Struthio camelus: one gene and its partner. Each later gene encodes a partner of the first gene's protein in a complex. Links are inferred from orthologs where the notes say so. Each region holds a gene or a part of one and is shown on either strand. Other genes may lie near its edges.

Region 1 (7,245 bases):
TCGTTGTTGCCTAAATTTTCAATTGTCTTTTTTTGCTCACTGACTTTTTTTTTTTCCTTCTATTTTAAACTGAGAGTTGCTTGTGTTTTCCAGCTGAAAATGTGAATTATTGATGTACAAGGCGTTTTTCACATCAAAAGTTTCTTCTCCTGATTTTCAGGTGACAACATCAGAGAGTTCTTGCTGAGTCTCAGATATTTTCGAATCTTCATTGCCTTGTGGAACGTCTTCATGATGTTCTGCATGATTGTGTAAGTAGAGCTGTGCAGCATCTTGTCATTTGTTTATCCAAAGTTATATACTTGGGGGGGGGGGAGTTACTGCAACTACCTTTTTTTCTTATCCCTCTCTCTGTCTCTCTGTCTCTCTCTCTCTCCCTCTCTCCACTTGTTCCTTAGCTACTTTTCATTTTACTTATGTCTACTTTGATCTTCAAAGACTTGACTGACTCCACAATTTTTTTGCTAATGCGTTCAACCTGTAGTACACAAAAATCTCTCTGCTGGTTTGTAAGTCATTTAGTCTTAGTTATAGGGTTTCTCGCTGTGTGTTGCTTAGATGCATCATCATTTGGTTCAGCATTTCAGTGTAACTTTTCCCTCCCTAAAATTAAGAAAACGGTAAAAGTCCTCCCAAGTAGCAGAATGGAATCAGCTTTGCAAATAGTCTCTGGAAACCACAGATGTAAGTCCTGATAGGCAGGCTAGCAAATATCTCCTCTTTTGCACTTATGTAGCTGTATGTTCTGATGTATGGGAGGGCAGAACTGATGCCCAGATGTATGCTAGTGTTTCACCCAGCTGGAATGGCGTTGCTATGACTATTAATGGTTGTACCCAATTCTCATCTACTTTTTTCTGTTGCGTCCACTAGGTTATTTGGATCTTGAAAGTCATCCACAAACATGTCTGTTAACTTGGAAGAGACTTTTGGCTGGAAACATAACTTTTCTGTAAAGTAAAAGACCATAATGCTTTCAAAATACTGCCCTGGGATTGTGGCTTGTTCTTCAGTACAAGCTCTAAAATATTAAAGGGACAGGACACGTTCATCCTCTTCAGTCAGTCGTATAATTACATGGCTTATGCTGGTTTGCTTGCTGCTTGGGGAAGTAAGCCTTTAGGCTCCTGAGCCAAAATGTTCAAAGTAAAATCATTTCAACGTTACTCAAATAGAGAACTTTAAATTGTTTTGGTTGGCTTAGAGTATGGTGCTTAGTATTCAGTGTAGAATTGCAGCATAATGGAAGACCACAGACTTAAAACTGTGCAGTTTTAGTCATTCCCAGCTCTTGACGTGTCTGCCAATGTCATGATTGTCTAGGTTACTTGAAATCTCACTTCTTTATTCTCATTTTTATAAAGTTGAGCAAAGTATTATACTGTTTTAAGTTTGAAAACAGCGTCCATTTTTTCCTCACTGTTACATTTAGTTTGTTTGAGAAATACACAAAGATGATGAAAAACATGTGATTCTCTTTATTTTTTCCAACAAAATGCTTTTTAAATTAAAATTTCAAAGATGGTGTTTTTTTCCTAAACAAAACGTAGGAGGAGTTGAATAGAAAAATTGCAGAAATTGTTCTATATGCCAACCCTAAGGAACAGTTTTGGAATCATTTTGGATTTGGTTGAATATAGAGGTTCTATTCATGGGTAAAAATGTGTTTGATGTCCGTGTTCATTCTACTGCATGAGAAATCAATTCAGTATCAATGTTTCTGAGAAATTTTAACTAGTCTGTGTTGCAACTGTGACTGGCTTTTGATGGTATTTATTTATGTTGTTAGCCTCTTTGACTCATAACTTTCCCCCAGCATCACCAAAATAACTTGACAGAGTGCAGTGCTGGTTATCTTTTAAAACAAAGTGAAAACTATTAGTGGAACTTTCTCAGCCTCAATTTCTTCAGCTATGTAACTGTTGAGAAGAAAGAGAGGCCTCAAGATTTTAAACCGAGGCTTGGTTTTAACCAATACCTTGAATTTTATCTGGATGCAGCCAAGTAGTCAGCACACAGGTGTCATCTGCTCGCAGCAGTTCACTCCAGTGATGCATTTTTGTATTACCTGAAGTGTTCAAAGTGTTCATCCGCTCTTTTGGGGATGCCTCGCAGTCATGAACATAGACGAATATATGGAGAAAAGGATCCTTCAAGAGAGGTTTGTATTGCACAGAAGCATTTACAATCTTCGGCTAAATTATAGGAGATGTCTTGTGTGTAATTTTTGTATTTTATACCTTAACTCTTTTCTAATGTATTTTTAATGAGTAAAAGAGAGTAATGTGCTGTTCTTGTCATGGTATCTGTGAGATGGCATCCAGACAAGTCCACTGCTTTATATAATCCTTGGAAAGCATTTTCTCCCTAACGTTCATTCAGCTGAGTCTTCCTCAGTGAAATGTACATGGCAGAGATTGTAAGAAGTTTTTATCAGTTTTATGCCTAAGCCACTAGAGGGCCCTTATAGTCAGCAGAGAAGCACTCGGGTCTCATTTTCAGACTCTGGGTTTTAATTCTCACTCAGAAAAATGGTTGTTCCTGTGCAGAACTCATATTCCGCTTTCTGAGTGACCCTTTGAATATGGCGAACACAGGGAATGGAGGATGATCAAACTCTACTGGTAAAGGAAAATACACAATTTTAAAGCTCCAAATAGATAATGCAGATTAATACTGAGTGCTGTCACCCCAAAATTTCAGTTCTTCAGAAGAACAGAAGTTCAAAGGTAGTCGTTCTGCTCCCATCCAACTGCTTTAGAAATGACGAGAGTAGTTAATTTGGAACTGCTCTTAAATGCTGTGGAAGGGCTGACTGCTTACCAATTGTCACGTCCGATGTCCATCAGTACAAAATCTTGTACATTTGCTTTTGTACTCAGTCCAATTACGTATGATAAGCTTCTAAAAACCTAACTTGTGCTTTCTTCAGAATCAAGGAGAGGCAGTAGAAGAGACAAGTTAAATATGTCTTTGAACAGAACGGTATTTGTTAAGATTTTGTAGGCTTAGCTCTTTCCACATAGCAATTGTAAGTTTATCTATGTATAGTTTGTATGTAATGTCAGAGTTACCTCACCCGTTGTTTTGAAAATAATGAAAATCTGAAGTTCCTCTACTAGGCAAAAACTTCTCTTAGTCTTTTGTGAGTTTGGAATTGGAAATCATTTCTTTCAGAACACATTTGACTTTTCACAAGCAAGTAGGAGTGTGTATCACCTTCCTGCAAGCATAAACTAAGGCCTCAAAATGTGTGCGTTTGCCTTGTGTCTTTAATAGCTGAGTAATGGCCCTAGGAAGAGATGCTAAGAGACAGCATGGGTGAGGAAAGCAGTAAAAGCATTTTTTTTTAAACGGTACACTGCAGAAGAGGAAGTATTTTTTTGTTTATTTCCATCTTTCAGTTGGACCTAAGCTGTGTACAGATTTACACGGTACTGAACAGTAGCTGCTGAGAGTGGGTTTTCTCTGATACCCAACACTGACTCTTGGGCTACATCTCTTAAGGTTAATTCTTCAAGTACATAGATGCAGGAGAAATGAATATATATCTAAAACGTGTCTTCACATCGGACATCTAGGAACTGCCTCTTGTAGACGATGACTCCCAGAAGTGCTGACAGAGCAGGGACTATTCAAACCTTTGCAAATAAACGCCTTGGCGTCCCGAGGGTGTCCTGTGCTTCGTTCCCCTGCGCTGCGGGGGCGCCGGTTGCCGGGGGGGGGGGGAGCGGGGGCTGCCCCCAACCGCCGCACCGGTTCGAGACGGCGGCCAGACCAGGCCCCGCCACGCGCTTCTTCCCCCCCCCGCCCCGGACGGCTCCCGTCGCCGGGCCGGCCCCCCCCTTCCCCCCGACAGGCACCTCGCGGCCGACTGCGCATGCGCTGCACCGCCACCCCCGCCGCCGCGGCGCATGCGTGCCCGCCGCTGCGTGCGCCGTACGGCGGCAGACGTCAGAGGCGCGCCGTGCGTAACGGCGTCGGGCGTGTCCCATGGTGCCCTGCGCGGGGCTGGCTCCTGCCCACAGTTGAGTTCGGCCCCGAGCGGAACAGTCGGGCCCGGCCCGGTCGCGCCGCCGCGGCCCCCCCGCGCCCCGCCCCGCCCCGCGCGCCGCTCCCCCCCCCTCCCCCGCCTGGCGGGGAGCGATCATGCCACTCCGGCTCCCCGAGGAGGCCGCCGCCGCCGCCGCCGGCGAGTGAGGAGCCGCCGCCCCGGCCCGGCCCGGCCCCGCCGCCCGCCCGCCCCGGCCGCAGCCGCCCCGCTTCGCCCAGGCAATGACAGCGGCTCCGGCGCCCTCCCCGCAGCAGATCAGGGACCGGCTGCTGCAGGCCATCGACCCGCAGAGCAACGTGAGTACGGCCCGCCGCGCCCGCCGCTCGGGTGCCGGCAGCGCGGGGGACGCCGGCCGCGGGCAGCCCCCCTCCCGCCCGGGGGGTCCCGCCGCGGCTCGTGGGCCGCGCGGCCGCCGCCTCCGCCCGCCCGCCGGGACCCCGGCTGCGGCGCGGCTCCTCCCCGGGCACCGGAAGCCTCCGCTGCGGGCGGCAGCGGGGAGCTCCGCCGGCGCCGTGCCCGCCGGGGGTCCCGCGGCGCCTCGCTGCTCCGCGCGGCGGGGCCGGTACCGGAACCGGCGGTCTCTCCGCTGCCGGGGGGCCGCGTCCTTCCGCCGCTCCCCCCCGCCCCGGGCCGGCTGCCGCTGCCCGGCCATGCGGCGTGCGGCCCGGCGGCCTCCCGACGCCAGGCCGCGGCTCGGGCGCGGCCTGCAGGGGGCTCTGGGCCGGCTCCCGCCGCCGCTCGCCGGGACCCTCCGCGGCGCCCACCTGTTCCTCGGGCCCGGGGCCCCCCCCGGCCGGCCGTACCGGGGCGCCTGGAGGCGCCGGACGGTGGTTTGGCGGCTCTGGCGCAGGGCAGGCTCGCTCCTCGCCTTTATCCCTCTCCGCACGGCGCTAATGAGCTTATCCGCTGGCTCTGGGATGTAGCGTGAGCGCAGAAGTCGGCGTTTGCTTCACCTGTAAGTGGGTTTCACCTGTAAGTTGCGGTTATCTGAAGTGTTATTTAATCCATTTAAGGTTTTTGGCATGTTAAAGCAGTTTTCCGCTTAGGCGTTTGTTTCTGGGAGAGGACTGCGGAGTCTGCAATCTGTCAGATTGCTAAATCTTAGCTCAAAAGTCACTACAGCAGGATGCAAAGGTGGGTTTGGCTTGACCATCTGTGGCTTTTTGGGGGGGGGGGGCGGGCACAGCTAAGGGTGCGTCGCACTGAATGGCAGTTCCAGGAGGCTGGGTATATAAAACAAGGTTTTGACTCTATTAAAGTCATACTTCTTTCCTCTTAATAACTATATTCGGTATTAGATGTGTATTGCAATCTTGAAGTAGCTAATAAAGTTCTTGCAGTTTGGAAACGTTCTAGAGCAGCCTGTGTGTGGCATGAAAACTGAAGAAAAATCACCCTGACCTTGTAATTTCTTGAGTAATCTACTATGATGTACATCTGTCGTGAGCAGGAGCATTACATGTTCTAGTAACAGTAACGAATTGTAATGGCAATTGTGGGCTTTTAAATGTCAAAGTTATTCAAGTTTGCAGTACTTTAACTCGGTTCTTAGTGAGATGTCTGTATACTTCATGAATTCTGTTTGCTCTGGGTTCTCTTGGTGGCTGCAGTCTTTTCACTTGACATTAGACTGAGCACCTACCTAGTTTAATAAAACTCTTAAGAGATCTGTGGCTTCTTTTAACTTTAAAGCTGTTGGCAGCCCTGGTTCTCCTACCTCTGGTGTTACTTTCTAAAACACTGTGGCTGTAAGTAACCAGGAGATATATTTTATGATGGATACTTCTCCCTTTCCCCATCCATTAATGCTAAATAATGCTGTATTTTCTGATGCCTCTAAGAGTGCTTCCAGCTTGGTTGTGACGAGGGGGTTCAGAAATAACTAGACAATTCTCTGCAAAGGGAAGTAGAGCATCAGCCAGCAGCTCTGCTGAGCTTCTGACAGGTCAGTAGCCGCATATGCTTGAAGAGTAGTGTATATTAAGTTATAATTCTACATACTTGATACTTATCCAGGGCAATAATTAGTGGTGGAAAAATCGCCCCATTGTTTAGAAATGCCTGTAGGCAGGGGGCTGTCTTCCATTTTAACCTCTTCCTCAAATGAGACTGGCGTAGCTGAGGTTAGTTGGTGCAGACTTAGATGTCAGAGGTTTTTTTTTTCTCTGAAGCCTGTAGAATAGATGGTAAACAATAGATAAAACTACCTGTCTTGCTGTTTTCATGAAGGGAACAAAAAACTTAAATCTTGAACACTTTTAAAAGTAAATTCTGAATTGAATCTGACTCGAGTCCCAATGTGAAAGTATAAGAAACTGCTCTGATAATCTTTTCCTGCAGTAAGAAGTTAATGCAGCTTTGAGCCGCAGTGCTGTTAGCACTGGCAGAAAATTGTAGCTCCTTTCTTCTGGCCTTTTAGACTCTTGTGTTAAAAGAAGTGCTTGCATTCAAACTTAAAAGTATTCATTATTGTGATTGACTTCCTTGTTTACCAAGAAAGACAAGCTGTGAGGCCTGGATTTCATTCAGACTTTTCCAATATAATTGTTGCTGTGTATATGTGCATGTTTCTGGAGGGGAGTAAGGGTGAAAACTGCCCTGATACCCTCACGTGTGCAGAAGGCCAATCCAGTTTTGTGAGGGTGAGGAGAGGGAAGACTATTCTCTGTAGTGCTTTAATTTGGGATGATTTGAATTTAAGCTTCACTGATATGTTCTCTAATACAAGCTGTTTCTCTTCTGTGGATATCCCAATGTAACTGTAAAGGTCTTTGAAGTGCATACAGAGCTGGAGTAACTCTGATGTCCTGCTTTAACAAAATAAAAAATAAATTGCCCTATCTGTGTTGAGTTTAGTTGTTCAGAGTAATCTTTTCCCCAGGTTCTTGGTACCTGCTTGCTATCAGAAGTCATCTTCTGCACCAATTGTTCATCTTTGTTTTAACCACTGCGTTAAGCCCTGTTTTAATTGTACAGATGCATTTAGCGCTTGAGATCTCTTCTAGTAATTGATGCAGAACATACTTATAACTTAGTTTCACACACTTAGTTTAGAGTTTACATGTATGACCTTTATTTCAAAGGACACCTATAAGAAATAAACTGCTTAAATACTGTCTCGTTTGGGAAGCCACTCAAGGTATCTGGTATTATATATTCCCTTATTCAGCCTTTTCCCTTTGGGGGGAAAA
Region 2 (7,739 bases), on another chromosome or scaffold:
AGGCAACTTCAAAAGTAAAAAAAGTTTCAGTCTCTGCCCTTCCCGTAGGGCCTCCCACCTCCACCCTATCCTATGGCAGGATTTGCCAGTCCCTCTGGCCTGGTAGTGCGTCCCTTTCCTCCATTTGCATAGAAGAAGTTGCAGGGTAGCTGAATATGAGAGAACTAACTGCAGCAAGCAGGAATGCATACAAAGCACTGCAAAAACACCAGCTGGGCACACTGGAAAAGATATTTCCTTCCTGCAAGTCGCTTGCTCTTCCGGGACTGATGGATAGACTTAATATTCAGAGGTATAAATATTTTTCAGCTAGAAGATGAGATTTACACCACTCTGGATATGCAAGTGCCAGAGGTCATCGCTAGTCTCTTGTCCACGTGATTTTGAGACTTTTTTTTTTCCTGCCTTGAGCCCAAATTCTACAAGCTAATACTAAAGGACTAAATAACCTCAACCAGGCCAGCAATGTCTTGACTACAAGAAGAGTGGCCATAGATATTGTTCATTTACGTGAGCAGTGCAGTATCACAATCCAATTTTTTCATTCCTTGTTTCCAAGATCGGGGGATGATCTTGATGAGACATCTACAGACAGCCTGAATCCCTATGAAGTCTTGCTTTACTTTTCACCTCAAGCTGTATTTTATACTGCTATTAATAACTTACTGATACCTATATCCTTGACTAATAAAAACATCTACCACAGATTTTAAGGAGTATTTGAAACTCTACAGGCTGTTTATTCAGCTTCATGGTCAGTTTTTATGGTAACAAGGAAGTATTTTCATTCAAGATTGTAACAAGGGCCAACAGAATATTCACAGCTATTTATAGATTAATGATACAATTCTAATCACCTTTCCCACCATCTTCTTCAGATAGAAAGCAGTCCTAGAAAGAAATCATAGAGTCTGTCCCATGACATCAAAGGAGTCAGGTTGCTTTACTATATAATAATCTCGGACAAGGGAAATGTTCATGTCAGTCCTTCTCCTAAACGCTTACTGCTTCTGCTTTCCTCAGAGTTCATTTTTCATGACTAGATCCCACAAAGTTCTCTTACAAACTCCTTAGTCGTTCCTTCTCCAGACCTGCACTACTGTTCCTCTCGTTGTCAGCCCACCACAGAGGGGCCTCAGAGCGCAGATCTCCAGTGAGCCAAAAAATCCCCAATGACCTCTGCCCTCCTCACCTGTGGTTTAGGTTCATACTGCTGCTGGAGCATCTTGGCCACTTTGTTCTCAAAAGCGCATAGCTGCGCGTACACTTGGTGCAGAAAGGCCTCTTGCTTCGTCTCATCCAGCTGACAGCCCTGGAATAGTACCTGGCCCAGGGATACACAAGGCAACCATTAAGTTAGGGGGTCAGAGTACCGGCCCCCTTAACAGCACACGGGAACGCAGTTCTCACCGGGGCTGTCGGGCATCTCCCTGACAAAGTACAGGTAACGCACAGGCCTCTTCCTGCGTGAGGCCAAATGCATGCATGCAGGGACGTTTCGTGGCATCTGCAGCACACTCTGCAGCAGATGCCTACAGCATTCTCTTGGAATCTCGTTCATAAGCAAGAGCTTTCTACTTCTTTTGCCTTCTTCTTGCAGTGGTCAGGAGAAAGCAGTGTGGAATCCTTGTTAAAAGCCTTTAACTCTGATGTGACATTTCCAAAGAAGGCCTGTTTTTTTTTAATCTAACTCACCTATAGACTGATCCAATTATCTTCCAGTAAGTGGATGGAAAAAGGAACAGTTCGTTGAAATAAAGACAATAAAAAATTTAATCGGATGTTACAGAAGAGGCTAAGTGATGTGACAGAGGGACACTGTCAACACAGAAACTCCCCAAGCTGATAGGCAGGACGCTCGGGCATCGTGCAGACTATCTCTGCCCAGACCCAGGTATCACAGAACACGGAGGCAAACGGGATGCAATGTGCAGACAAAGCGTTCAACAGAAGGCAAGGACGCTCCTTGTTATCATGCCATCCCCTCACCCTAAGGTGAGCACATAGTGACATGGGAAAAATAAACAATTACAACAGATATAGGCTTTCTTGGATGAGTTACACACATATGTGCCTTTTCCTCCACAAAAGGAACACACAGCTTTTTCAGTTATGTCCAGAGATGACAGTTACTGGCCTCACACAAGAAATAAGATTTTAGAACAGATCCAAAGAATAAGAAATTACCAACTTTGCAGTACTCAATTCAGTGTAAGTAGGGGAAATACTGAGGCAAAGCATGGTGATGTCTGAAGGACACCTGGACAAGATTACACACAAAATATCATGGCAAATAGGGAAATTCCTGCTAAGCATACTTTCATAGCACCTAAAAACTGACCAAGGTGAGGGCCACGCTCTTCAAGCACTGTACAGACCATTAAAGCTTGCAGCCTGCACAGAAGGCTTGGGAAGAGGTGGACCAAGGAAGGGAGAGGGAGGGAACAGGTCTATGTTGAACAGCATCATCTGGTTACCACACAATTTCTGTGGTATGACCAATGGCATGAAACACACCATCAGAAACGGGAAAATGATGTGAAACTACTGCGAGGTTGAGGGGACCGATACAAGAAGAATAAACTTCAAAAACCCCTACTGGCACTATAAACCAGAACCTGCTCTGTCTCAAGTAACTGTGAGGTTACTGGGGCTAGGCTGCTCTCTCCAGCAAGGAGAAACATACTCACACTGGTACAAAAAGAGAGCAAGGTTTGTAGGAAGAGGTAATCATCTTTGAATAAATCACTGCTACACAGTTGGAGCAGGCAGACAAGCTTTTGGGCATACCACCTCCTCTTGCATGTTTCAAGTTAATTACAACAGGCCAAAGAAATTAGTCAGCAAAACAATTTAAACAGGGGAAAAAAAAGCATTAGACATAACATGAGGGAAATATTAATTACAATCTATCTCTGAGAACATGCCTACAGGCAGCGTTCTCTGCTAGGCCCTGCTCCCCCATGAGAAACCTCTGCTTCCAGCCCAGAAAAGCTGCTCATGTGCATTCCCCCCATTGCACCAGGCTGCACGTTTGAATGAAACAAGTCTACAACAATATCTTTAACAAAGCCCAGCTAACACATGTCCCACTTCCCTTTGTGTTCACGGGCAACCAATAAAGCAAGCTGCTCACGTGCTGAGATGCGCCAAGGGAGAGACTGAATTTTACCTGATGGGACTGCAGGCCAATGATGGAGGAATATGCCTGGATGGTCACAAAGATCTCTGGCTGGTAAATAATGTCCGAACCAGGGATACGAAAGGGTCTTAACAACCCCACTAAGCATCGGGAAAGAGCGTGAAACACTTCGTCAAAAATTATCTCCCCTGTTGAGTCATCCTACAGAAACAGAGAAAAGAAACTTAGCTTCTTCATCTGCCAGGACTTTCAATCTCATTGACAGCCGCCGCACCACACAAAGCTAACAAAAAACATCCTTCTGTAACAGCAGCTGGTAAGCAAAGGCCACACATGGAGCATCCAGCAGAGACACAGGATCTGCCAGTAAGCTGACCAGCTAGGAGCATTTCATGCCTCACTCCTGGGAAAACAAGTGCTCTGCAAAAGCTAAGACTGACATAGAAAGGAACGAGCCTTCTCAGCAGAGAGAAACGAGTCCAACCTTTCAACAAAGGGCACCCCAAGAAGATAGTTTCTGCACTTACCACAATCCCCGTGGAAGGGCTCAGGTCAAGTTCAATCACAAAGCGGTACTGGCGGGCCAGGAAGGTGACCCGTGTTGAGGGCACTAGGAGATAGGGCCTAGGCTGGACAGGCTCGTCTGGCTGCCATCCATTAGGCAAGATGCTGAGAACATCCAGTTCGTTTTCCGACTTCACCTACATGAAAAGGTGAATGGTAAGTGAGAGAACATTAAGACAAGCCACATGTATCAAAGCAAGAATCAGAATAAAGAATAGGGTTAAAACCTTCTGCAGGGCCTGGCTGCTCATGAGTAGCGCAGAGCCCAGAGCCAGCTGGCCACGTCAGGATGTGGCAAGACCAACCAGCCCAGGGCACCAACTCACCAGCTCCGGCTCAGGCACAGCCCAGATGACCTGATGGAGTCGGCTGAGGACCCAAGCAAGGCGCACGTTGCGGGAGATGCGATAGTCTTTCTTCATCAGGAGGAAGACATGCCCTGCTTCCTCCACCTGCAGCGTGTGGGAGCATGGCAAGCCCCCTGGTCACCCCAGGAGTCAGCCAGCCCCCCAGAAGAGGGAAGAGGCTGGCACTGGCTGGGGCTGGCCACCACAGACCTCACCAGCACCTCCTTAGTTGGCCTTTGCCAGCATCGCTCATCTGCCCCCACATCCACCCCAAGACGTGCCTCAGCCCCTCGCCTTTCCCCCACCTGCACCAGCCCCCACGTTCCCTCACAGACCCAGCCAGCCCCATCGCTCCTAACCACGGCCCTGCCCCCCCCATATCCCCTGTTACCCCCCACCTCAGCCCTGCCCCCCAAAACCCGTTACCCCCCACCTCGGCTCTTCCCCCCCATATCCCAGTTACCCTCCCACCTTGGCCCTGCCCCCCCCAACACCCCTGTTACCCCCCACCTCGGCCCTGCCCCCCCAACACCCCTGTTGCCCCCCCACCTCGGCGATACCCCCCACACCCCAATTACCCCCCCCTTCAGGCCTGACCCCCCTCCGTCCCGGCCCGCCCCCACCTCCGCGTCGGCCCGCTCGGAGGCCGCCATGTCCGGCCGCAGGCCCCGCCCCGCCCCGCGCCCTCTGACCCCGCCCTCCGCCCGCCCCGCCCTTCCCGCGCTGCGCGCCCTGACCCGGAAGCGAAGCTCTCCCGTGGCAACGGCCGCGGTGCCGCCATGCAGGTGAGGGGCGTCGGGCTCGGCCCGGCTGCCGCCGCCGGCAGCGGGGGGGCTCTGAGGGCGCCGCAGGCCCGAGGCGAGGGCGAAGGCGAAGGGGCGCGGGGCTGCGGCTGCTCGGGCCCGGCCGGCCGGCGGCCGCCCGCGGCTCCCGGGCCTCGGCTCTGCGCAGGCCCGAGCGCAGCGTGTGTAGGCCGCGCTGGGCCTCGGCTCCCCTGCGCCCCGGAGAGGTGCAAGCAGCCAGGCAGAGTCGGCAACGCTGGCCCCGACCTCTGTCAAAGGCGCCTGCCCGGCGGCACCTGCCGGGCCGCGTCGCTGCTCGGCTGCTTGCAGGGATGGGGTCGCGCCGAGCGGCCCGGCGGGCGGGCAGCAGCTCTTCGCCGCAGGCCAGCCGTGATGCGCCTCTTTGGGAGCTTGGCCTTGCCCTCGAGCTGTTGTCCAGTGCTTTCCTGTGCAGCAACCTCCTTTTGCTGCACACGCGTAGACTGAGTATGTGTATAGATAACTGAGTCTCTTGTTCCCTCTCAGCAGCCGGTGCAGCCTTTGGTGAGAGTGGCTGCACCGGATCAGGCCAAAGGTCTGTGTCCCCCCCCCCCCCCCATCGTGTTTTTGACACTAGCCAAGAAGTAGGTGCCCGGGAAAAATGGTGAGAGCAGAGTATGCTTGAGGGCTGTTCTGTGCAGACTATTGCTAAAGGGTCCCATGTATTTAATAGCTTTTGATAAACTTTCGTCCATGGAAGAAGGATCCAGTTACTTACTGAACCTTGGGGAATTGTTAGCGTCCATAATGTCCGATGGAAAGGAGTTGCACAGGTTAATGGCAGGTTAACAGGCTGTGAAGAATTGCCTCCTTTGGTTTGTTTGAGCCTGCTACCTCCTGCTTTAATTCAAGTTTCCTAATTGTCATGCCAGAAAAGAAGGTGAAAATGGATTGTCATGCAATTCCTCGTGTACTGATGTTTGTTATATTGTCTCTCCTTCTCTTTTCTGCCGCTCACACAAACTGGTCTCTTTTCTATGTTCGACTGCTATGCCTGTAGAAGCTGACGTATGTCTTCGATCATCCTTGTTGCCTTTCTTTGTACGTACTCCTACTATATCCTTTCTGAGATAGAGGGACAACAGTTACAAACAACAGTCACGATGAAAACGAGGCATATGTTTATACAGTGATATAATGATGCTTAGTTTTATGTTCCTTTTCTAATAAATCCTATTATTGTTTTTGTTTCCTTGACTGATTCTTGAGCCTTGGGCTGATTGTTTTTGGAGGATACTCCAAAGATCTTGGTTTTTGAGTGACAATGTTATCAGTTCAGAGAATGTCATTGTTTATGAGGAGCTAGATTCCTTTTTTGTTTGTTCTGCCACGTGCATTGCTTTATGTTTACCTACACTGAATTTAACCTTTACCTCCCAGTCACTCAGTATCAGGAGGTCCTTCAGCAATCTCTCCTATAAGCCCTCTCTTTGCTACCTTGGGATAATCTAGTATTGTATAACAAACTCCTTAAAGCACTGCTTGAATATATTGTGTGCCTGCAATAGGTACAGAACTTCTTGGAAGTACTGATCTTAAGCACTGGTGAAGCCTGTACACATTACATCTGCTTCCTGCTCTTAACGGCTTTGGAGGAGGCGCTGCTGTGAGAACAATGTGTGGGCAATATGGTTGCATTCGTCTTCTTGAGGGCCTCTTGGATAAGCACAGGCCATAGGCTGCATGAATTGCCTTAGATGCATATGCCTGGCACCTCTGCAATAAACACTGGCTACCTGCCCAACTTGTAATACAGTCATTGATTAATTCTCTTGCACAAGCATAGTGCACACAACGAGTTGTAGACTCATTTCTTAATTGCACAGAAACTGCCCATCTCCATCACAAGATGGAGGAGAGCTATAGTGCTTTAATCTTCAGATGCAACACCCAGCAATCTGCTTCGAGGACTAGGGATCAGATTCTACCAAAGTTGACTCAGCCTTTTTTTTGAAGGTGGTTAAGTGAAGTGAAGTCTGGTCAGTGTTTTCTAAAGATACCTTTTATTTTCTTACCAGTTTATAAATTAAATAGAAAAATCTCATGTTCTCATGGATATAGAAGATACCTGATAATCTCTTCAATGAAGCTCATGCTAGTCCAGTTCATTTAAACAGAACAACATAAACAAACAAACCCCATAGCAAGCATGCAAACAGAATGATTCACCCTCTGTGCTTTCCCAATTGGCATTCCCTTTCTATTATTTGATTGTAATGTCCCACCCTCCAGGTGGATTATTACTGTACAGCGCTTGACTTATATTAGCAGTTTATTAGGGCTGGAACTTCAATTGTATTTTGTGCAACTCTTCTGTTGTATGAATATATAAGAACAGAAAAGATTCTAGAGAGTTTTTGCAAGAGGGTTTTTGTCTCGGTATCTTTGGCAACAGATTCCTTATCCTCTGATTTTTTGCTTGTGGCCATCCTACTTCACCCAGGGATGTTGGTGGAAAAGGAATTTAATCAGTGCAGTTCAGGCAAAAGGCAGGAGGTGACCTGCATGTGTGTCCAGGTTCTGTATGATCCCTATTACAGCAGTGCCTCCCACAACTGGTAAGGCACAAGTAAAATGGGAACTCCTAATTTCTCTAGCAGCTAGAAATGGCACTTGGGCAGGAAGAAGGTAAAGAATGAGATGAAGGGTAGAAACTGGAGTCTTTAGGCCACGGACCCGATGCTTATTTTGCACACGGCTGCTTTGGATGAAGACATTACTGTATCCACATTTGCTAGCAGAAGGAGTTGAGTGAATGCTAATTACCTTGAGCTGGGCTAGCTTAAACAGCTCACAGAAGTGGCATGAGCTAACTCTGATGACACTGTCTGAGGTGGTAAAAAGAAAATGCAAGTGATAATGTCT

Evidence for each region. Proteins that work in one complex are often made in the same cells at the same time.
Region 2: MED26 (region 1) and MED8 share a complex: the UniProt entries of both Homo sapiens proteins name them as parts of the mediator complex. The link is inferred for Struthio camelus from reciprocal best matches to the Homo sapiens genes MED26 and MED8.

The regions. Positions count from the first base shown.
Region 1 is NC_090967.1:5,333,578-5,340,822, reverse strand, and holds the start of MED26 (mediator of RNA polymerase II transcription subunit 26), read left to right. Parts: upstream 1-4,230; 5' UTR 4,231-4,275; coding exon 4,276-4,350; intron 4,351-4,879; exon of another isoform or gene 4,880-5,026; intron 5,027-7,245. Other genes in the region: SMIM7 (small integral membrane protein 7), read left to right, coding at 161-251, 874-889. UniProt on the Homo sapiens protein: Component of the Mediator complex, a coactivator involved in the regulated transcription of nearly all RNA polymerase II-dependent genes.
Region 2 is NC_090949.1:25,439,527-25,447,265, reverse strand, and holds the start of MED8 (mediator of RNA polymerase II transcription subunit 8), read left to right. Parts: upstream 1-4,739; 5' UTR 4,740-4,832; coding exon 4,833-4,838; intron 4,839-7,739. Other genes in the region: KICSTOR complex protein SZT2, read right to left, coding at 1,193-1,324, 3,173-3,343, 3,670-3,843, 4,033-4,158, 4,677-4,706. UniProt on the Homo sapiens protein: Component of the Mediator complex, a coactivator involved in the regulated transcription of nearly all RNA polymerase II-dependent genes.